2 linked regions of the Anolis sagrei genome follow. The protein of the gene in region 2 purifies or fractionates together with the protein of the main gene of each other region. This does not show direct contact. Links are inferred from orthologs where the notes say so. Each region holds a gene or a part of one and is shown on either strand. Other genes may lie near its edges. The genes, in order: WDR24 and DEPDC5.

Region 1 (13,231 bases), about 23 Mb from region 2:
ACAACATGCAGCCAAACAGATGGAGCCCATACATACCTGATTGCGTTTGAGCTCCTTGGCTACTTTGGCATTATGGTCACACAGTTCTGCTAGAGGTCTCCCTGTCAACACATACTGCTTGGCAGTCCGCACAAACCAATCCATGCTCCCAACATCGCACTCTGTTTCTGCCTCAAAGACACTCAAGGCACTGGAAGAGGAGATAAATTCAAACTGCTCTGTGGGGTCTAACTTGCGCTTGAAGAAAATAGGGTGCCGCCGGTCGCCGATGTAAGGCTTGCGATTAGAATCCGAGGAAATTAGACTCTCTTTGGCCGCAAAAGCCAAGTCCCCAAAGAGGCTATAGCAAAGCCCTTCAGGGTTCGCCCGGTCAATTGGCTGGCTAGCATCTTTGAAGATGTGCTGGTAAAGAGTACTATCCTTGGAACCAGAGAGGAGGAAATAAGGATCGTGGAGATGCCGCCACACAATCCCCGTGGTCACGTCTTTGTGCTCTTCGAACATGGCTGAAGGAATGAATGGACGGCGAACATCCCACACGTAGATGTTGTGGTCCACCATCATAGAGCAGGTGGCAATGTGGTGCTTGCATTCCGGCCGCCACTTGACCCTTGCCACAGATGCGATTGTCTGCACGCAGTAGATCTCTTTGGCCCGGTTGGTGTTCATGTCCCAGACCTTGACCATCTTGTCTCGGCCCCCAGTGGCCAGCCAACCCCTAGAGGAAGGGCAACAACACAGAGACACCTCAAGAGCAAGGAAACAACAGTTCGAGAATCAACACATCCTAAATGCTGCCTTATGCAGACATTTGAGCCATTCACAATTCCGTTAAACTGCTCAGAGATTCACAATGAACTTTGATGTCCTTGTGGAGAGAAAAAGTGGGGTATAAATGAACATAACAACAACACTATGTAACATGTTTTTTGTTCCTGAGTGATAAATGTCATTTTTAATTAGTTCTATGATAATAATAATAATAATAATATTATAATAAACTTTATTTGTACCCCACTACCATCTCCCCAAGGGACTCGGTGCGGCTTACATGAGGCCAAGCCCAAAGTATATTAAACACAACATCAATAAACAATCAATAAAATACAAAAAATATAGAAAAAAAGTTTATTAAACTGCATATATGAAGTTTCTGGAATATAACAACTACTTTCAAAGTAACTATCGCACAATTAAACAGGAAATAACACTTTCAAACCAGGAACAGAACATTTTCCAAATTTTATTACATAGTGTAATACAGTGAAGCCCCTTGCTCTTCCGCAAATGCTTCCCCCATTTATTGAATATATCCAGGTGACACTATCCTCATTCTTTAGTACAGTGTCCAGAATCTATTAAAATGTAGGAAAATATCCCACTTCTTCTTGAGTGAAGAACTCTGATTTTTATAGGAACGTGTATCTGTAATGCTTAAAAAAATTAAAATAGTACCAAAACCCCTTTAAAACCAAGTATTGCATATACTCAAGTATAAGCTGAGTTTTTCAGCCCTTTTTTAGGCTGAAAAAATCCTACTCGGCTTATACTCGAGGAAAGGTATACTCTGCTTTTATTATTATTATTACTATATTTATTATTTTACTCTATTATTATTATATTACATTTAGATTATTTTACTCTACTTATTATTATTACATTTACCTTTTATCTATTCTTACTGTTATTATTACATGTACATTATTTTACTCTATTATTATTATTATTACATTTATTATTTTACTCTATTATTATTGGAAGGATAAGCACATTTACACTGAAGAAGATTAAAATAATGGTCTAATCAGAGTTGGGCAGTCTTATCTTAAATTACAATTTTATGTAAATATTCAAAAACATTTAACCTACTGATGCCTCAATTAAGGTCATTTTATTGCTATCTATTTTATTCTGAAATTTACCAGTAGCTGCTGGATTTCCTACCCGCAGCTTATACTCAAATCAATAAGTCTTCCCAGTTTTTTTGTGGTAAACTTAGATGCCTTGGCTTATATTTGGGTTGGCTTATACTCGAGTATATACGGTAGTCCATTTTAAAAGTCAATTTTCAAGTGACTGTTTGTCTATTAAGTCTAAAATGCAAGAAGGACAAAACATGAATAATAGAGGAAAGGGACAAGAAAAAAGTAGGGTACTGGAAGATCAGAAACAGCACTTTTGGGGGAAAAACAAATGCTATCTGCCCATACCTGTCCTCTGGATGCCAGTCACAACAGAATACAGGCCCATTGTGGGCTGTGAACATCCTTTCGTAGCGATCCGGACGGCGGATGTCCCACAGCTGAACGTTGCCATTTTCAAAAGTTGCAGCAAAGGTAAAGTAATCTCGAATGCTAAACTGGACATCACGCACGCTTTCTGATTGTCCTGAAGAAGGCAAGGGATAGCATGTTTGGCATGTCTGGCATTTGGTAGACCTTGCCTTGCAATTCTGAGTTATCACAGGAGAAACAAGGAAATGCACAAAGTAAACTTGTCCTAGTTTCAAATATGTGAGCTGAAGTTGCTCATGCAGCACACCAGTGTGTCCCGACACACAGTTTGGAAAGCTCTGACCTAATTCTAATAACTGAATTATGTGGACAGAATGAAGGTATTTTCAAGAGGCAGGGAAAACGCTAGGAGGAAGTAGTCCCAAGGTAAAGAACCAATAACAAACCAGCCCTTACCCGAGAAGGTGCTCACTGAATCCTTCTTGCGCAAGTCGAAGCACTTCATGTAGCCGTCCTGAGAGCCGCTCAGCAGCATGTACACTTCAGTCGGGTGGAAGCACACCTTGTTGACAGTGCGCTTGTGTTCAGTGAAGAGCTGGTCCTGCTTGTTGCGGGAGGGCTTGCCGAGGTTCCAGGTCACCACCACGCCATTGGTGGCTGCCGTGGCTAGCAGATTCTCGTCCATCTGGTGCCAGACCACGTCGGCACAGCTAAAATTCAGAGAGGGCTTGCGGCCGACACGCAGGTTCAGCTTCTCTACGAACTGATCCTCCTCAATGGAGTAGATCTTGAAGATGTTGCGCCCCGCCACCACAACCTGGGCCGCATCCCGGCACACGCTGATGGCATTGGAAGGGGCGTCCAGGTGGCAGAACATGGTCCGCCCAGTGATCGTGTTGCCACCAAGGGCAGTGGTCACTCTCGCCATTTTCTCCATGGCGGCCTTCCCTAGACTTCCTAGATCACAAAGCAAGGGCTTCAACAATTATACCCCCAAACACGCCATCATAAAAATAAGATACCTTCTGTCGGCAGCTAGTCCTTTACAACCCAGCCTGTCAGAGGAGTTTCTACAACTTCTTAACATGAGCAAGAGTTGCTGAATCCATCAAAGCAGATGCGAGCTAATGGCAGTTAAGTCAAAAGTTTATTTAACAGACCTTGTTATCTCCCACTGAAATCTCTTGGTGATATGACGAAGACTTTCCCTTTTCCCACTTTACTCCGAAGAAAATGTTTGGAGAATGTTTTCTGTTTTCCTGAAAGAAGTTTTGACTGAAGAAATCCAACAAAATCTTCTCCAACAAAGGATAACACTATACGGGAGGGAAGCAAACCAACACACGTCATAAAAAAGCAACAATATTAAATAATGGAAATTAGCAATTCTTGACATTTAAGAAGAATTAAATTAAGTTGCATATATATTGGTGGCCTAATAATAATAAATAATAATCTCTCCTGCACATTAAACAGCCTCCTTGGCATAGCGGACCGCTGTTGTTGTTTTTTACTTGTACAGTGATGGTCCTATGTAAATAAAAATTGTAATAGTAAGAAATTCACTGGTTTTGTATTTGTACAGCATTATGTACATCAATGGTGCTATATAAATAGGGAATAATTATAAGAGAGGATGCTTTTGCTATATAAGTAGCTAACAACAATAATAATACAAATTATAACAATAAGGAATTTGTTTTTTATTTGTATTTGTACAGTGCCATGTACATTCCTTGGTTTTGGTTTTTACTTGCACAGCACCATGGACATTGGTAGTGCTATAAAAATAGCTAATAATAATAATTAAAGAATGTGTTGGCTTTTGCTATATTAGTAGCAAATAATAATAAAAATGTTAATAATAAGGAATATTTTATTGACAGAGGGCAAGCTATTTAACTTCAGCAGACTGAAAACCAAAACCAAGATCACAACAACATCTGTTATAGCACTCCAATATGCTGATGACAATGTTGTCTGTGCTCATTCAGAAGATGGCCTACAAGTCACTCCAAGCACCTTTGCAGAAGCATATGAGCTCGGCCTCTCATTGAACATTGAGAAAACCAAAGTGCTCTTCCAGCAGTCACCAGTCAATCCCTCTGCAATGCCAGAGATATAGCTTAATGGTGTAACATTAGAAAATATTAGCCATTTCCACTACCTTGGTACCCTCCTCTCCACAAAAATTAACATTGATACTGAAATACAACACTGCCTGAGCTCTCCAAGTGCAGCATTTTTCCGAATGAAGGAGAGAGTGTTTGAGGACTGGGAAGTCCGTAGGGAGACCAAAGTGCTTGTTTATAAAGCCATTGTCCTCCCAACCCTGTTATATGCCTGTGAAATGTGGACTGTCTACAGATGTCATATGCAACTCCTGGAACGATTCCATCAGCACTGCCTCTGAAAGTCTGCAAATCTCTTGGGAAGAGAGATGGACAAATGTCAGCATGCTGGAAGAAGCAAAGACCACCAGCATTGAAGCGATGCTCCTAAAACGCATCGCACGTTGTCCGAATGCCCGATCACCATCTCCCAAAGCAGTTACTCTGCTCTGAACTCAAGAACGGGAAACAGAATGTTGGTGGACAGAAAAAGAGATTTAAAGATGGGCTTAAAACTAACCTTTAAAACTGTGGCATAGACTCTGAGAACTGGGAAGCCCTGGTCCTTGAGTGCTCTAACTGGAGGTCAGCTGTGACCAGCAGTGCTGTGGAATTCGAAGAGGCACAAATGGAGGGCGAAAGGGAGAAACGTGCCAAAAGGCGCGTCAAGCCAACCCTGACCAGGACCACCTTCCATCTGGAAACTGATGTCTTCACTGCGGGAGAACATGTGGGTCAAGAACAGGGCTCCACAGCCACCTATGGAACCACCGCGAAGACCCCACATCTGGAAGACCATCATCCTCGAGCTACGAGGGCTCACCTAAGTCAGTAAAGCAAGGAAGGACTGGAGGGATTTGAGGGGACTAACCTCTAGTGTACTCTACAGCCAGAGATCACACTGACTCCCACCAACGATGCATCTGGAGCAAACCTGCCCAACATAACAAAGTTTCAGGGGCTAACCTGACATAATGTGAGCTGCAGTTTACCCATCACTTTCTGCGTTAGGTAAAATTTAAAAAATGACTTTTTCAAATACAAAGTAATAAAAATAATGATCCTTCCACATTTCCGGCAGCTTAGGCCTCACGCATGCGCAGACTTCGCCCCAAGCTCCAGCTGCGCATGCGTGCTTCTAATCTTTCTTTTACTGTCTTGCCAGAGTAGGCCAAAGCCGAAGGGTGGGGCGAAGCTGGCGCATGCGTGCTGATTTCTCTCCCTGTGTCTTGCCGAAGTAGGCCGCACTCTCAGAAGTTCTCCTCAGAAGCGCACGCCATGAGGGAAGCCAGGCTTGAGGTAAAACGACTAGGCCGCGTCTCACCTGGCGGCGACGGAAAAGCAGCAGCAGCAGCCGGGCTCGAGCGGGCTCTCGACTGGGAAAGACCCCGGCTCTTCGGGAGGCCACTTCTCCGCCCTCCTTGCTTCCTTCTTCCGCCTCTTCCTCCTCCCCCCCCTCCTCCGCGGGAAGGCAGGCCCGCCCCTTCCGCCCGCAGCCTAGGCCGCCCCGCCCTCGCAGCAGCAAAGGCCTACAGCCATAGAGGAGGATAATAAGTAGACTAATAGAATAGTCATAATATAGTAATTATTACTTTGAAAACAGAAATGGTAGTAATAATAAAAATAATAATAATATAAAATACATAATATATATAAATAAAATATAAAATATATAGCATATAATAAAGTAACATATATAATATATAAATAAAATAGATATAATAAAAGATACAAAATACAAATGCATATTATAATACAAAATATATAGTATCTAATATATAAATAACATAAAATATATGGTATGCAATAACAATATATATAGTATATATATATATATATATGTATAAAATAAAATAGATATAATAAAATATATGAAAATACAATACATATTATAATACAAACTATATTTTATGTAATATATAAATAAAATATATAGTATCTAATATATAACAAAATATATGGTATGCAATAACAAAATATACAGAATATATAAATAAAATAGATAATAAAATATATAAAAATACAAATACATATTATAATATAAAATATATATTATGTAATATATAAATAAAATATATAGTATATAATAAAATGTATAATATATGAGTAAATAATAGATGTAATAAAATATATAAAATAAAAATACATATAATAATATAAAATATAATATATAAATAATAAAACAGATATGATAAAATATATAAAATTCAAATAACAATATAATATATATAAATATATATAATACAAATACAATAATATAAAATATATTATTTATAATATATAAGTAAAATATATATAATAAAATATATAGAAATACAAATATGTTAGCTGTGTAATGCTTCAAAGATACTAAATCAGTCGTTTTGTATTTTTAAAGTTTTTTAATATATATTTTTATAAACAGGTCACGTGATAAAATAGCACAAGAAACACTTACCAAATATAAGGTTATATCTTCGGAATATACAGGAGAAGGAGGCTTATATATATACAGTAAGAAAATGATTTTTTAGAATTTTATTATTTTCTTCTTTCCCCTCCCTTTTATAGTCATTTGAAACATCACAGCTTCCATCGTTTTAAATAAGACTTTGGACCAGCGGATACTTTAAATAGAGGTGCAATGGGGACAATGGTGCAATGTCTCCCATGCAAGCCTCCATGAACAAAGGGAGCTGTTCCCATATATATGTCAATGCGGCTTTCACCGAAGACATTCCTCCTAAGGGGTTGTGCCCGAAAACTCTTGGACCAAGACATTAGTGCCACTCTTGCAGGAAATGGAGTCAACTCTCGGCCAGATCCAAAATAGGAGTCATTTAGAATATTGCTGTTTGCACTGGCTTCACCAAATGGCCAACTTTACACCTTTGCTTTCAGTATCTTTTCTAACACTTCTTTCTCATTCGACTTTTTCCCATTTTCCACTATCTCTTTGCAACCATTTCTCTTGATTCTGTTTACATTGAGAGTTTAATGCAGATATAATGTGATTTGCAGTCTGAGGCTGGATCTACACTACATCATCATCATCATCATTATTATTATTATTATTATTAGCTGCCTTGAGTCTCCATTGGGATAAAAGCAGGATATGAATAAAGGTAATAATAATAAGGTTGCTGCGAGATTTCCAGGCTGTATGGCCATGTTCCAGAAGCATTCTCTCCTGACATTTCGCCTACATCTATGGCAGGCATCCTTAGACGTTGTGAGGTCTGTTGGAAACTAGGCAAGTGGGGTATATATATCTGTGGAATGTCCAGGGTGGGAGAAAGAACTCTTGTCTGCTTGAGGCAAGTGTGAATATTGCAACTGACTAACTTGATTAGCATTGAATGGCCTTGCAGCTTCAAATCCTGTCTGCTTCCTGTCTGAGGGAATCCTTTGTTTGGAGATGTTAGCTGGCCCTGATTGTTTCCTGTCTGGAATTCCCATTTTCTGAAAGTTGTTCAACAGAAAGGAGGAAACCATGAAAATGAACAAAATCTGGCTACCAGTATTTAAAAACTCTAAAATCAGGACAGTAATTAAAGAATAGCATTCAGAAAAAGGGGGATTCCTGGCATGAAACAATTCCAGGCACGAAACAATCACTTGCTTAGTTTCCAACAGACCTCACAACCTCTGAGGATGCCTGCCATAGATGTGGGCAAAACGTCAGGTAAGAATGCTTCTGGAACATGGCCATGCAGCACAGAAAACTCACAGCAACCCAGTGATTCTGGCCATAAAAGCCTTCGCGACAACACAGAAGAAGAAGAAGAAGAGGAGGGGGCGGGGGAGAAGACGAAGGTGATAGACCCATGTAGCCTGGATCTACTCTGTCATATAACATCTAGATTATCTGTTTTGAATTGGATTCTATGGCAGTGTAGACTCATATAATCCAGTTCAAAGGAGATAATCTGAATAATCTGTTTTGATCATCTGGATTATGTGGCAGTGTAGATCCAACCTAAGTGCATTCATGGCAAAATTAAAATGTAATTCAGGGATTTCTTGGTCCCATGTCTCATGTTCCTGACTATACTCATTGTCCCTTTTCCTTGTCTTGCATCACTGCTCCAAATGACTGCAGGGATGCAAGGCAAGGAAGTCCCTGAAAAAAAATGCTGTCCCTGCTATGATGTTTTCCAAATGCAAAACTAATCCATACTTAACTTCCTTGCACAGCATTACTGTATTTGGAGTATGACCCTTTCTCCTTGTGGGTTCCTTTGCAATTTATATTCGCATTTGACTCCAGCAAGAGAAGGTGACTGCTGCAAATCATCTGGTCCAAGGATCAATTTCTGATAGCACCCACTCCTCTCTTTGATAAGAAAAGGACATGTCAGGACTTGGGATAATGGCTTTTTGGACTACCGCTCTCAGAATCTCACAGCCAGCATGACCATTGATGGTGGGATTCTGGGAGTTCTTGTTCAAAAAAAAACACCACCTCCAATCTACAGCCGGGGGGGGGGGGGGGGGGGATGGGACACACCCTTTCTGAAGGCACTCTCTGCTATTCAATGGCTTTGTCTTCTGTGCCCCACCTCAGACTTACTTGCCTTTCCCTTGTGATGGTCTCAAATGGAAAACTCTGGATGGAAAACTCTGGACACTGAAGCTTCTGTGTGTTAATGAAGGATTTCATGGCCAGAATCACTGTGGAATGTCTAGAGTGGGAGAAAGAACTCTTGTCAAGCCAGGCTTTGAAACCGCAAGGCTATTCAATACTAATCAAGGTGGCTCATTGCAACATTCACATTTGCCTCGAACAGACAAGTGTTCTTTTTCCCCATCCTGGACTTTATTCCACAGGTATATAAACCCCACTTGCGTAGATGCCCGACCACCGTCTCCCAAAGCAGTTGCTCTACTCCGAACTCAAGAATGGAAAACGGAATGTTGGTGGACAGGAAAAGAGATTTAAAGATGGGCTCAAAGCCAACCCTAAAAACTCTGGCATAGACACTGAGAACTGGGAAGCCCTGGCCCTTGAGCGCTCCAGCTGAAGGTCAGCTGTGACCAACAGTGCTGTAGAATTTGAAGAGGCACGAATGGAGGGTGAAAGAGAGAAACATGCCAAGAGGAAGGCGCGTCAAGCCAACCCCGACCGAGACCGCCTTCCACCTGGAAACCAATGCCCTCACTGCGGGAGAAGATGCAGATCAAGAATAGGGCTCTACAGTCACCCACGGACCCACCAGAATACTGCTCCTGGAAGACTATCTTACTTGTTCAACGAGGGATCGCCTAAGTAAGTAAGTAGTTTCCAACAGAACTCATAACCTCTGAGGATGCCTGCCATAGATGTTGGCGAAACATCAGGGGGGAATGCTTCTAGAACATGGCCATGCAGCCCGGAAAACTCACAGCAACCCACTGAAGCTTCTGCTCACAGATAATGTGAAAACTGGGGGGGGGGGGGGGGGAGTGTTTTTGGTCTTCTGCTTAGTATCCCCCCCCCCCCCCCCCACAAGATATCATTCAGGCATAGGATATAAGCCATCTCTTTTCTAATATACTCACCCAAGCAGAAAGGCTTATTGGGGACCAAAATTCTAATACAGATCTGTGTCACATTTACAGTCAACAGTAAATCGTGTGTATGACAATATATATTAGTACCACATGCTAATTTGGACTGTTCACCCCACCCCTTTTAATGATCCAAACGTAAATGGTTCCTATATCTCTCTGTTATGCATTTGACCGAATATGGATTTGCTGCTGCTCTTTTGTCTCTGAGTGGATTTAGACTATTATTAGTCTTTTCATATTGAAACTTGGCATTCAAATCCCGGAGCTGATTGGGTACTTTTCCAACTCCCAAAATGTTGAACACTCCTTCAATTTTTATTGTTTTGAAGGATAGGACAATCCCACTTTGTTTTCTCTTTGCACTTACCCATTCCCTTGTCCTATTGTTTACAGCCTAGCCATGTTTATTGTAGCTTATCGCCATTATTTATTGAGTGCTGTTTTATTGAGTCTTAAGTTGTTGTTTTATATGCCTATATGTATTATTCTGTTGTATTTTATACTGTGTCTTATTTTATGTTTTGGTTTTAGGCATCTTGTGCTGTTGTGTAAGCTGCCCCGAGTCCCTTCGGGAAGATGGTGACTGGATACAAGAATAATGTTGTTGTTGTTGTTATTATTATTGTTATTATTATTATTATCCAACATCCTTTTGTAAAATTAGCCTCAACTTATTTCCATTGTTTCTTTTAATGAAGAAATTTGCCAATTTTTGTAAATGCTTAACAGCAAACTAAGGAAATCAAATAGTTACACCTGCTTCCTCTGCAGGTATTAAAGAAAAGCAAATAATTGGCTGCACAGATTCAGTATTCCAAATGCAGAGGAGTAGTCATTTAAACTAATCAATTGATGACTTCTGCTTCATTAAGTCAATCTGACCATTTCTTTTTTTGATATGAATGTCTTCCTCCCATTCTTTTCATGAAATTTATGAAGTTCATTATGGGGACTTCTTCCAGATGCTCTGCTTTGAACTGAATGATATGAGTCTACACTGCCATATAATCCAGTTCAAAGCAGATTGTCTGGATTCAGGAACTGGATAATTAGGCAGTGTAGATGGGACCTTATTTCAAAAAAGCCAAATGAAAACCTCACCAATTTCCTACTCTCTTGTAATCATTTGGCTGCTATTGAATGCTCAGAGACCAGACTCTGGAGGTAACATTTCTTTCTTTTGTATATACAGCAACTGAAGAAATGAAAAGCAGAGTGGATTTATCAGCTGTGGTGAAAAAAAAATCTGGTCTTTGGCGTCTCTCACACATAATGGAAGCTGGAACGTAAATTTAAAACAATATTATGTGTCAGGGGACAACAGTTTGTTACTATTAGTTAATGTTATGGGTCAGGAAGCAAAGGTTTTGTTTGCATTGTGCTTGCCATTTTAAAATGTAACTGTTTGATTTCCTAGGGTTTTTAAGTAACTAAAAATATTTATGTTTTTAAAAGACGTCAGAAAAAACGCATACTATTGGCTCAAGGTCCCAAAAAACCCAAATAGCGAGGCTGTGCAAGTATAAAAGTGAATAAAAAGAGCCACAATTACATTACAAAAGCACTTGTGTCATCCCTTGTTAGTTGTTCTGACACTGCTGGTGTAACACATATATGCCTTAATCACTGGAGAAGGAAATATATCACCAGCAGCTCTACTATTAGTACTCCATAAAGTCCAAGTGCTCGCCTAATAGCAGCCATTCTATCCAACTGAAGCAGGAGATATGGAGTGGCAATTTGGCTGAGAGATCAGGGATACCTGAGGACAAGATTTTTCCGTGCAGTTGCCATGCTTCATTTAATCAACTGTGTAGTGATCCATATGTCTTCCAAATTTGCACCATGTTTTACCACCATTTCTTCCACCCTTGTTTTTCCTGCAGAAAATTCCCATTAAGGAAGAAAGCCTGCAACAGCCATTGAATATCATTTGATAATGGAAACCTGTTTGAAAGCACCCACATTCCATTTCCCTCCTTTTCGGAGATGTTTCAGTTCAACCCTATTTCTGTAAAAATTTTGGAATTTATAATTGCAATTCATGCCTGAGTTTGTGCGCCCCCCCCCATCCCCCTTTTCATATCATTCTTTGCTTTTCTGGAGATAAGGGTTAAAAATACTGTCAATCAAATAAGGAATCACCTGATGCTTGGCCATCCAGAGATGGATCCCTACATATTCAGTCATTTCCAAATCTGTGAAATTAAAGGTTTAAATATTACAGAGCCTATGAAGTTTCCTCAGCAGTGTACAGAGTTTTCCAGAGAGCCAACCTTTGAGACGGCTGAAGCTAGCAAATGGCATGTTCAAATAGATTCCCTCCCCCCTTTGGAATCGCGTAATCCGTTCTCCACTCTCCCGTCAAGCTTCAGGGGAGTTTGAGGCGGGATATTGAATCACGTGACCAGGAACCCCATCTATGACCCACAACAGGCAAGGCCTCCCCCTAAAAAAAAAACCCACCCCAACTCCCACATTCACTTACCCAACCCTCACAATCATGCAGTTCTGCAGGATACGCAAGGCAGGATGAAAGAGCAGGGAGTTGTAAAACGTCACCCTAAAAAAATAGGCTGGCTTAAAGCTTTACAAAGATGTTATGGCAACAAAATGTTTCGCACCGAAGAAATACCAATGTTTTTTTAAAAAAGTGGTTGTCAAAAGCAAGTTTGTTCATGAGTTCCGTACAGATGAAGAGCACGCTGATCTCCAGGCACATCCATTGGGTGTGATGTGGGAGCAGTTTACCATTGCACATGGTGTGTGCGCCACCATCTGGGGCAGGTTGCGTGGCCTTGTATGGAGAAGCATCGTAGGCCTCTGAGCCAGTCTGTTTGCCCAAGCACAAGTGATATATGTATACAGATAGATATATGTGGATGATAGGTCACAAACAGATTGATTCTTTCCCCCACAGCATCCCCACATCATGCACAATGATCCATCCTGCTTCTTCCCTTACCCCTCTCTGGTAATCAGTTGGGATTTAAAAAAAAATCAATGTAATGCAGGCATGGGCCAACTTTGGCCCTCCCTCCTTTGGACTTCCACTCTCACAATTCCTAACAGCCAGTAAGCTGTTATGAATTGTTGAAGTCTAAAATACCTGGAGGGAGGGCCGAAGTTGGCCCATGCCTGATGTAATGTATCTCCTTGTACACAATAACATGTGCATGGTTCCTTCCAGATATCCGATGAGCATTTACAGAAAGGTATTTTCAAACCCCTGCCACTATCCGCATGGTCTACAACCAGAGCTTTTCAAACTGCACCGCAACACATTAGTGTGTCAGCTGCAATGCGAGGTGTGTCGTGCGAACCTCACAAGAAATTACAAAAAAAATCCTGGAA
Region 2 (12,499 bases):
CCTCAAGCCCCCAAATTTCTCCCCAAAATCAATTTCCAAAGAACCCAATTTTCCTTAAAAAAACTCCCTAATTTCCTCTCCAAAGACCCCATAATGTATTTTAAAATACCCTCCAATTTCCACTCAAAAGGCCCCTGAATCTCCCTTAAAAGACCCCATAAATTAAGACCCCACAATTTCATCTCAAAAGACCCCATAACCTCCTTTAAAAGACCCCTTAATTTCCCCTGAAAATTTCTCTTAAAAGACCCCTTATCTTGAGACCATAATTTCCTCTCAAAAGACCCCATAATCTCCTTTAAAAGATCCCCAAATTTCTTCTCAAAAGACCCCAATTGCCCTGAAGAGACCCCTAATTTCCCCTCCAAAGACACCTAAATCTCCTTTAAAAGACCCTTAAATCTTTAAAAGACCGCTTAATTTCCTCTCAAAAAGACCCTGATTTCTCTTTTTAAAACCCTATAACCCCCTTTAAAAGACCCCCAATTTCTCTGAAAAGACCCCACAATTTCCCCTCAAAAACCCCCACAATTTCCCTTAAAAGACCGCTTAATTTCCTCTTAAAAGACCACATAATCTCCTTTAAAATACTCCTTAATTTCCACATAATCTTCCCTTAAAAGACCCCCAATTTCATAGAATCGTAGAATCAGAGTTGGAAGAGACCTCATGGGCCATCCAGTCCAACCTCCTGCCAGGAAGATTATGAGGTCTTTTCCCCTCAAAAGACCTCATAATCTCCATTCAAAGACCACTTAATTTCCTCTCAAAAGACCTCCTAATTTCCACTCAAAAGACCCCTGAATCTCCCTTAAATTATCATATATTGTATTGTTCTTATAGTATTATTATATTATATATTATTATTATAGAAGTAGTAGAAGTATGTATTTGCAAATTATGAGAAATTATATATATGTTGTATACACACACATATATTTGGAAGGTATGAGAAATTGTGCCTGATTTATTATTATATATTATTATACTATAATCAATGAGTAATATTTTATATTATTATATATCATTGTGTTATTATAATATTATAAGGTAAAGGTAAAGGTTTTCCCCAGACATTAAGTCCGGTCATGTCCGACTCGGAATTGGTGCTCATCTCCATTTCTAAGCCGAAGAGCCAGTGTTGTCAGTAGACACCTGCAAGGTCATGTGGCCAGCATGACTTCACGGAACGCTGTTATAATATAATATTATATATTACATTATTATAATATTGACAGTTTGAAGCCGGGTCAGGGTGAGCTCCTGACCTTCAGACCCGCTCCCCTGCCCACCTGGTGGATCAAAAACAGCAATGTGAGTAGATGAATAGGAACCACATTAAGCGGGGAGGTATTTTATGTAAGAAATATTAAATATTAACTATTTTGGATTACAAAAGTGTGAGTCAAGCACTGAAAGAGTTAGTAGGTGGAAGCCTGTAAGAGCCAGGGGAACAAAGCTAGTGTCTTCCTGAGAATGAGTAGGCCAAAGCCTGTTAGAGTGAGTGGGCCTAAGCTAGTGTCGTTCTGAGGAGTGTGCGTGAGAAGCTTTGGTGAAAGAAGCCCCAGGTTAAAGGCCTTACTATGTGAAGCTCCAGGATAAGTTCATTGTGAGAGGAGGCTCTGTGAGATTGAGGCTGTTTATCTGCATGAGGAAGAAGCCCAGCATGGAAGGAAAGAAGGAAGTATAAAGGACTTTATTTGTGTTATAGAAACCTTGTTATTGTAAATAGTGCAACTATATTATTTTACTACGAAGAAAAGCCTTCTATGGAAGATATAACTTTGGTCTGTGTGTTTTTGTTCTTTTTATCACTTCTGGTTACTGGTGCTGGGTTACACTGCTACTAATAAGTTACTCTGCTATACATTCATGGGGAGGGTCCTTCATTAATAAGCCCACTCGTCCAACATTTTAGGCACAGCGTTTCGGAGAAAAGTTGACGAAGAAAGAAAACTTTTTGGCAAGGAGGAGGAGCAACAGCACACCCCTGTGGCTGGAACCAAGCACAGCCTCCAAAAGATGCCGAATGATGAGAAATAAGCCTAACCCTAACCCTATCTATTGCCTGTCTTGACATTGTATACTCGGCATTGAATGTTTGCCGTATATGTGTTCTGTGATCTGCACTGAGTCCCCTTCAGGGTGAGACAGCCAAAATAGAAGTACTGTAAATAAATAAAATAAAAATAAAAATATAATATCTATATAAATAAAAATGCAATGTTCATTTGTGGGATTAACATAACTCAAAAACCACTAGACGATTTGACACCAAATTTGGACACAATACACTGATCAGGCCAATTAGTGACCATCACTCATAAAAACACTGAAAAACACAGTAGAAGGGACTTAAAAAGTCACACACCTCCGCCCAAAAGATGCTACAACGCATGCACAAAATGATTCCCCCTGGCAAACAAAACACACAATAGCATATCCACACTCTCTTCCAGACTACAGCTCCCAGCATCCCTTAGATCAGGCCCTTTAGGAGAGGAGGTTTAGCACAGCTGGTAAATCATCAGCAATTATAAGATCTATCAACCAAAAGGTTGCAAGTTCGAAGCCCCAGGTTGGCATGAGCTGCTAACTGTCAGCCTAGCTCATTGTTTACCTAAGCAATTCGAAGACAGCTTTAGCTGTGATTAGAGAAGTTAGGTACCGCTAAAAGTGGGGGAGGTGTTTTACGACGCCATAAAGAAAAAATATCAAAAAATGCTGGTTGACCAAAAGGAAGGAAAAGTCCTGATGGCTCTTCGTCATAGAGAATAGACTCAAGCCCAACCTTCCATGGCACCAAAAACAGCTGGACACTGAGTTGAAAGAAAAGGGGAGGGGGGAGAGAAAGAAGGAAGGAGAGAAGGAAAGAAAAAAAACATAACAAATCTTACTAATGGGAGTTTTAGGGGGTTAAATTATAACCTTATGCATTTTGCCGGGTACCCAAGCTAGTATTATATATATAACATATTAATAAAAGAATACTATAAGAATATAATTATAACAATAAGAATAGAAATATACCTATACAATAATAATATTATACTATAATATAATAATCCTATAAGAATACAATATATAAGAATGATATAACAATAACATAATATTATATTATACTAATATAAGAAGACTATAAATATAAAATGACTATAAGAATATTATATATAAGAATACAAATATAACATATTTATAATATAATATATTACAAAAAGAATATAATATAATAAGACTGTAAGATTATAATATATAACAATAATATAACATAATAATATATACTTATATGCTATAATACTATAATATAATAGAAGAAGAGTGGACTATATAAGAATATAACTGTAATATATAACAATAAAACATACAATAATACTATAATATAATATAGGAATACCATAAGGATATAGTATATAAGAATATATTAGTATAACCTATAATCTATATAAATAAAAATAAAAATGTAATGGTTGTTTGTGGGATTAACAGAACTCAAAAACCACTGGGGGAATTGACACCAAATTTGGATACAATACATCTATCAGGCCAACAAGTGACCATCACTCAAAAGAATTGATTTTGTAATTTGGGAGTTTTAGTTGCTGGGATTTATCGTTTACCAAGAATCAAAGAGCATTCTGAACTCCAGCAAGGGTGGAATTGAACCAAACTTGACACACAGAACTCCCGTGACCAAAAGAAAACACTAGAAGGGTTTAGTGGGCATTGACCTTGAGTTTTGGAGTTGTAGTTCATCTACATCCAGAGAGCTCTGTGGATTCAAACAATGAAGGATCTAGACCAAACTTGGCATGAATACTCCATATACCCAAATATGAACACAGATGGGAGTTTGGGGAAAATAGACCATAACATTTGGGAGTTGTAGTTCACCCAAAATCAAAGAGCATTCTAAACCTCACCAATGATAGAATTGGGCCAAACTCACCACACAGAGACCCCCATAACCAACAGATAATACTGTGCTTTCTGGTGGTCTTTGGCAACCCTTCTGACACCCCCTAGCGACCCCCCAGGGGCCTGATCCCCAGGTTGAGAAATGCAGCCTTAAGGCCTTCTATATTAGTTATACTAGTCCAACTCCCTTCACCAGGACAAGAAAACATAATCAAAGCCCTCCTGATAAAAAGCCACCCAGCCATAGATATAGGTAGATAGACATGATTCATGTGCGCGCACACACACACATATATATGTATATGACAGATATAGTATCATAGATTTGAAAGGGACACCTAAAGAAGGACAATTATATGCTGCATGTTCCAGAGTAGGCAAACCAGACAATCCCTACACCAACACTGACAAAGAAAAAAAAAAGAAATACTGTTTACACACAAGCAGAAAGACATTACATATATTAGAAACCAACAGTTTTTCATTGCCTTATTTTCCAAATCACAAGACTGGACCACAGCAATGCATGACAAGGGACAGCTAGTATTATATAATATAATATATAAGAATACAGCATATAAGAAAAATATAACTATAGTATAACAATTATATAAGACTATATATTACATAAGAATATAACATAATAATATAGAATAGCATAAGACTAAAAGAATATAAAATAAAATATTAATATCTGTAATAATATTATAAGAAAGTAAGGAGAGTATAAGAATAACATATAATAATAATATGAAAATATACTACTATTATTGTTCATTCGTTCAGTCATTTCCAACTCTTCGTGACCTCATGGACTAGCCCACGCCAGAGCTCCCTGTCGGCTGTCACCACCCCCAGCTCCTTCAAGGTCAGTCCAGTCACTTCAAGGATCCCGTCCATCCATCTTGCTCTTGATCGGCCCCTCTTCCTTTTTCCTTCCATTTTCCCCAGCATCGTCTTCTCTAAGCTTTCCTTTCTTCTCATGATGTGACCAAAGTACTTCATCTTTGCCTCTACTATCCTTCCCTCCAATGAGCAGTTGGGCTTTATTTCCTGAAGGTATGGACTGGTTGGATCTTCTGGCGCTCCAAGGCACTCTCAGAACTTTCCTCCAACACCACAGTTCAAAAGCATCTCTCTTCCTTTGCTCAGCCTTCCCTAAGGTCCAGCTCTCACATCCGTAGGTGACTATGAGGAATACCATGGCTTTAACTATGCGGATCTTTGTTGCCAATGTGATGTCTCTACTCTTCACTATTTTATTGAGATTGGACATCGCTCTCCTCCCAAGAAGTAAGTGTCTCCTGATTTCCTGGCTGCAGTCTGCGTCTGCAGTAATCTTCGCTCCTAGAAATACAAAGTCTGTCACTGCCTCCATGTTTTCTCCCTCTATTTCCCAGTTGCTAATCATTCTTGTTGCCATAATCTTGGTTTTTTTTATGTTTAGCTGCAACCCAGCTTTTGCGCTTTCTTATTTCACCTTGATTAGAAGGCTCCTCAGCTCCTCCTCGCTTTCGACCATCAAAGTGGTGTAATCTGCATATCTAAGGTTGTTAATGTTTCTTCCAGAAATGTTTACCCCAGCCTTGCATTCGTCAAGCCCCGCACGTCGCATGATGTGTTCTGCATACAAGTTGAATAGGTTGGGGGAGAGTATACAACCCTGCCGCACACCTTTCCGAATCTTGAACCAGTCTCTTGTTCCATGGTCAGTTCTTACTGTTGCTACTTGGTCCTTGTACAGATTCCTCAGGAGACAGACAAGGTGACTTAGTATGCCCAGACCACCAAGAACTTGCCACAATTTATTATGATCCACACAGTCAAAGGCTTTAGAATAGTCAATGAAACAGAAATAGATGTTTTTCTGAAACTCCCTGCCTTTCTCCATTATCCAGCAGATATTGGCAACTTGGTCTCAGCACAACAACAGAGAGGAAACAAACAAGGACATTTAATCACCTCTCAACAAAAGTTTGCTCCAGGCACTGTTAGGCCATTATATGCTAATCAAGGTGGTCAGTTGAAACATTCACACCTAGCTCCAGCAGACAATTTATTTACTTTATTTATTTACTTTATTGGTATACCGCTCTTCTCAGCCCTTAGGCAACTCAGAGCGGTTTACAACAATTTAGGTATACACAATACAAAATCAGACAAGAGTCCTTTGCCCCACCCTGGTCATTCCACAGATTTATAAACCCATTTTCCTAGTTCCAACAGACCTCACTACCTCTGAGGATGCTTGCCATAGATGCAGGCGAAACGTCAGGAGAGAATGCCTCTAGACCATGGCCATATAGTCCGAAAAAAACCTACAACAGCCCAGTGATTCCGGCCACTAAAGCCTTCGACAATACATTAATTTGGTTTCTCATTCCTCTACTTTTTCTAAACTACTATTATAAGAATAAAATCGTATAAATCTAACAACATATAACATAGCAATAGCACTATAATACATTGTATATTAATATAACAATAACAACATATGGTTTTTGTATGTTTTTTCGGGCTATAGGGCCATGTTCTAGAGGCATTTCTCCTGACGTTTCGCCTGCATCTATAGCAAGCATCCTCAGAAGTAGTGAGGTCTGTTGGAATTAGGACAATGGGTTTATATATCTGTGGAATGGCTGGGGTGGGGCAAAGAGCTCTTCTCTGCTGGAGCTAGGTGTGAATGTTTCAGCTGACCACCTTCATTAGCATTTGAAGGCCTGGCTGAGCCTGGGAAAATGTTTTGTTGAGAGGTGTTAAGATGTGCCTGGTTGTTTCCTCTCTGCTGTTTTGCTGTAGTAATTTTAGAGGGGGTTTTTTTAGAGAGGAAACAACCAGGCACATCTTAACACCTCTCAACAGAACATTTTCCCAGGCTCAGCCAGGCCTTCAAATGCTAATGAAGGTGGTCAGCTGAAACATTCACACCTAGCTCCAGCAGAGATGAGCCCTTTGCCCCACCCCAGCCATTCCACAGATATATAAACACATTGTCCTAATTCCAACAGACCTCACTACCTCTGAGGATGCTTGTCATAGATGCAGGCGAAACGTCAGGAGAAATGCCTCTAGAACATGGCCCTATAGCCCGAAAAAACCCACAAGAACCTAGTGATTCCAGCCATGAAAGCCTTCGACAATACAAATAACAACATAATAATCCAATGATATAATTTTCAAATAGAACATATAAGATGAATATACCATAACTATAAAAATTCTGTAAGAAGAATAGAATAGACTAGAATAACAGTATTATCACCGAATGGCAAGGTCTTCTCTCTGAAGGGGCTTCCTCCCTCCCTCCCTCCTTCCTTCCTCCCCCTCCCCTGAGGGAGGGGCCACTTCCGGCAGAACCCAAGACCGCGCCTCGGTGGGAGCCTTTCTCCTGCTTCTCATTCTTCTCCTCTTGCTTCTCCATCCTTACCTGCTTCGGCCGCCGAGGAGGCCTGCCTCCCTCTCGCGCCGCGACTATCCTCCCGCCCCTCTCGGTGACCCGCCGCCTCCACTTCCGCCTCCGCTCTGTCCCGCCACTCGGTGGTTCTACATCCGGGGACTGACTCCAGTGCCTTCCTTCCGCCTTGTCCCAATCTTAGGAGGAAAGAGATACCCGGATGGGGACGCTCTAGGCCTCCGTGGTGTTTATACACGCGCCGGGAGTCCCGCTCTCCATTCGAAGCCCAGGGCATTCCAGAGGCAAGGGGTGGTTGGGTCTCAGCCTCTCCGCCTCGCCTGGCCCCGCCCCATTTCCCGGTCGCAGTTGGTTCGGCCCGCCATTCAGGAGACCCAGGTGGGTTGAACCATTATGATCTACATAGGGGGGAATCCCGCAGAGGCCTGCCTGCCTGTCTCCCTTCTGTAATATGATACAGTCATAATATAATTGTAATATATTATAATAATATTAATTTAAGAACGATAATGTAATAATATAATACTGATATGATTGTAAGGTAATGATAATATAATAATAATAATCTATATAAATAAAAATGTAGTGTTCGTTTGTGGTATTCACAGAACTCAAAAACCACTGGACGAATTGACACCAAACTTGGACACAATACACCTATCAGGCCAATGAGTGTCCATCACCCCTAAAAACACACTAAAAAACCAGCAGAACCCCCCCCCCCCAAATAAGCTATATATACATATACACCTGCACACATACATACACACACACATGTGTACACAAGCACACACAAATATACACGTACATATAGACATGCACACATACATGCACACATACACATATATTTACATATACACATGCATACATACACATATATACACAAGCACACACATATACACAATATACATATGCACATATACACCTATCTATCTATTTGTGTATATGTGTATATATGTGTGTTTGCATATATAGATAGACAGAGATATATACACACATACACACACACAAACAAACCATATATGCAGACTGGGCCACAGCAACACATGGCAGGGTACGGCTAGTCTATATAAATAAAAATGTAATGTTCATTTGTGGGGTTAACAGAACTCAAAAACCACTGGACAAATTGACACCAAACTTGGACACAATACATCTATCAGGCCAATGAGTGTCCATCACCCCTAAAAACACACTAAAAAATCAGCAGAACGGACTTAAACCCCACCCACCCCCCAATAAACTATATATACATATACACTTGCACACATACATACACACACACATGTACACAAGCACACACAAATATACACATGCACACATACACATATATTTACATATACACATGCATGCATACATAAACATATATACACAAGCGCACACGTATACACAATATACATATGCACACACATACATCTATCTATCTATTTGTGTATATGTGTATATATGTGTGTTTGCATATATAGATAGATAGATAGATAGATATATATACACACATTCACACACACACACACTGTATATACAGACTGGGCCACAGCAACGCATGGCAGGGTATGGCTAGTCTATATAAATAAAAATGTAATGTTCATTTGTGGGGTTAACAGAACTCAAAAACCACTGGGTGAATTGACACCAAACTTGGACACAAGACACCTATCAGGCCAGTGAGTGTCCATCACCCCTAAAAACACACAAAAAACCCAGCAGAACGGACTTAACCCCCCCCAAAATAAACTATATATACATATACACTTGCACACACATACATACATACACACACACATGTACACAAGCACACACAAATATACACATACATATAGACATGCACACATACACATATATTTACATATACACATGCATACATACACATATATACACAAGCACATACAATATACATATACACATATGCACACACACACATATACACCTATCTATCTATCTATTTGTGTATATGTGTATATATGTGTGTTTGCATATATAGATAGAGATACATACACACATACACACACACAAACAAACCATATATGCAGACTGGGCCACAGCAACACATGGCAGGGTACGGCTAGTCTATATAAATAAAAATGTAATGTTCATAGAATCATAGAAACAAAGAGTTGGAAGTGACCTCATGGGCCATCCAGTCCAACCCCCTGCCAAGAGGCAGGAATATTGCATTCAAATCACCCCTGACAGATGGCCATCCAGCCTCTGTTTAAAAGCTTCCAAAGAAGGAGCCTCCACCACACTCCGGGGCAGAGAGTTCCACTGTTCGTTTGTGGGGTTAACATAACTCAAAAACCACTGGACGAATTACTGCCAAACTTGGCCACAAGACGTCAACTAACCCAAGGAGCGACCATCACTCAAAAAAATTGAATTTGGCATTTGGGAGTTGGGGGGAATAGACCTTGACATTTGGGAGTTGAAGTTGCTGGGATTTATAGTTCACCTACAATCAAAGAGCATTCTGAACCCCACGAACGACAGAATTGGGCCAAATTTCCCACACAGAACTCCCATGACCAACAGAAAATACTCAAGGTCATCCAGTCCAACTCCCTTCACCAGAGCAAGAAAAGGTAATCAAAGCCCTCCTGACAAACAACCATAGATATAGATAGATATGATTCACACACGCACAGATATAGTATCATAGATTTGAAAGGGACCCCTGAAGAAGGACAATGATATGTTGCATGTTCCTGAGTAGGCAAACCAGACAATCTCCACATCAACACTGACAAAAAACAACAAGAAATACTGTTTACCCACAAGCATAAAGAAATTACATATATTAGAATTCAACACCTTCTCGTTACTTTATTTTCCAGATCACCAGACTGGGCCACAGCAACATGTGGCAGTGGACGGCTAGTCTATATAAATAAAAATGTAATGTTTGTTTGTGGGATTAACAGAACTCAAAAACCACTGGACGAACTGACACCAAATTTGGACACAATACGCCTATCATGCCAACAAGCCAAAAAACAAAACATGCATTACAATGCATGCGCAAAAAACATATAAACACAAACACACATATATACACATATACACAAATATATACACACACATATATGCATATACATACACACAAAACACAAAAACACAGACTGGGCCACAGCAATGCATGGCAGGGGACAGCTAGTAATCTATATAAATACAAATGTCATGTTCGTTTGTGGGATTAACAGAACTCAAAAATCACTGGACAAATTGCAGCCAAATTTGGCCACGAGACACCTCCTAACCCAAGGAGTGACCTTCACTAAAAAAAAAAATCGATTTTGTCATTTGGGAGTTGTAGTTGCTGGGATTTGTAGTTCACTAACATTTAAAGAGCGTTCTAAACTCCACCAATGATGGAATTGACCCAAACGTGGCACACAGAACTCCCATTAACAACAGAAAACACTAGAAGGGTTTGGTGGGCACTGACCTTGAGTTTGGGACTTGTAGTTCATCTACATCCAGAGATCACTGTGGACTCAAACTTAAAGAGACTTAAAAAGCCAAAAAACAAAAATTACATTACAACGCATGCGCAAAACCACATATATAAACGCAAACACATACACACAGATATACACACATAAAACACATATAGACAGATGGCCACAGCAACATGTGGCAGGGGACGGCTAGTAAATAAGGGGGATTCAGGGCATTTTCCAAGTAACATCACCGAAACATACAAAGTAAACAGCATAACATAAAATTAACAAAACAACATAAGCATAAAATTATCAGAATAACACATGTATATTAAAAGTAATCCTGCCTGTTCAGAGCAATTAAAAGCTGGGACAAAGCTAGTGCAAACTCAAAATATGAGGGAATTAAGATCAGTGCTATAACTCTGGACTAGAACTGGTCATTCTCAAAGGCCACCAGGTCTTCAAGCTCTTACAAAAGGAGGGGAGGGATGGGGCCTGTCTTATTTCCCTTGGAAGGGCGTTCTAGAGGCGGGGGCCACCACCCAGAAGGCCCTCTCTCTTGTCCCCACCGACCCTTCCAATATTTTCGGTTGGTCATGGGAGTTCTGTGTGGCAATTTTGGTTCCATTCATCATTGGTGGAGTTTGGAATGCTCTTTGAATATAGGTGAACTATAAATCCCAGCAACTACAACTCCCAAATGACAAAATCACCCCACCCCACCAGTATTCAAATTTGGCGTATTAGGTATTTTGGGTGCTTCAGAACCCCCCCCCCCCCCCCCCCCCCCCCGCTTTTAAGTGGTACCTATTTATCAACTCATATTTCCTTTCGAACCACTAGGTAAGCGGAAGCTGAGCTAAAGGCCGGGAACTCAGCCTGACTTCAAACTGATAGCCTTTCAACTGACAAAATTAACTGCAGCTGGTGGTTTAACCTGCTGTGCTCAAGCCCAGCATTTTAATAACATTGATAATAAAACTGTAATAAAAGTTTTGTGTATGTGTCAAGAGCGGCTTGAGAAACTGCAAGTCATTTCTGGTGTGAGAGAATAGGCCATTTGCAAAGACGTTGCCTATGGGATGCCCAGATGTTATACCATCCTGTGGGAGGCTTCTCTCATGTCCCTTCATGGAACGCTGGAGCTGACAGATTCAAACCACCGATCTTTTGGTCAGCAGTCCTGCTTGCGAAAGGACAAAACCCATTGCGCCATTGGGTACTCCACTGATCATATTTTTGTTGTTCATTTGTTCAATCGTCTCCGACTCTTCATGACCTCATGGACCAGCCCACGCCAGAGCTCCCAGTCAGCCACTGATTATATACTATAGTAATAATATAATAGTAATATAATAATGATAATATCATTATAATATAATAATTAATGGGGAGATTCTCAGTCCTTGTCTAATGCAATTCTATGGTGAAATACATTTTCTTAAAGGAATATTTCTATTTTTTGAAGGATTTGAAGCCTCAAGATGAAAACCAACAAAGTCTACAAACTCGTCATCCATAAGAAAGGCTTCGGCAGCAGCGGTTAGTTCATGGGAAACTAAATATTGCATATATATATATATATATATATATATATATAATTATTACTGAAGTATAGCATTATAAGTAATATTAAATTATATTATTTTAAAATTATATTATAATAATCAAATATATATTTAAAATATTAAAATATATTATTGTTTTGAAATTATAGATATTGTTCTTATTA

Evidence for each region.
Region 1: the proteins of DEPDC5 (region 2) and WDR24 purify together in Homo sapiens (affinity purification with western blotting; 4 studies listed by BioGRID and IntAct, with this or other methods). This does not show direct contact. The link is inferred for Anolis sagrei from reciprocal best matches to the Homo sapiens genes DEPDC5 and WDR24.

Annotation. Positions count from the first base shown.
Region 1 is NC_090034.1:26,274,060-26,287,290, forward strand, and holds the start of WDR24 (GATOR2 complex protein WDR24), read right to left. Parts: upstream 5,803-13,231; 5' UTR 5,670-5,802; intron 5,486-5,669; exon of another isoform or gene 5,312-5,485; intron 5,292-5,311; exon of another isoform or gene 4,866-5,291; intron 3,551-4,865; 5' UTR 3,172-3,550; coding exon 2,691-3,171; intron 2,389-2,690; coding exon 2,211-2,388; intron 719-2,210; coding exon 37-718; intron 1-36. UniProt on the Homo sapiens protein: Catalytic component of the GATOR2 complex, a multiprotein complex that acts as an activator of the amino acid-sensing branch of the mTORC1 signaling pathway. The GATOR2 complex indirectly activates mTORC1 through the inhibition of the GATOR1 subcomplex.
Region 2 is NC_090034.1:49,304,783-49,317,281, reverse strand, and holds the start of DEPDC5 (GATOR1 complex protein DEPDC5), read left to right. Parts: upstream 1-7,485; 5' UTR 7,486-7,705; intron 7,706-12,235; 5' UTR 12,236-12,251; coding exon 12,252-12,309; intron 12,310-12,499. UniProt on the Homo sapiens protein: As a component of the GATOR1 complex functions as an inhibitor of the amino acid-sensing branch of the mTORC1 pathway.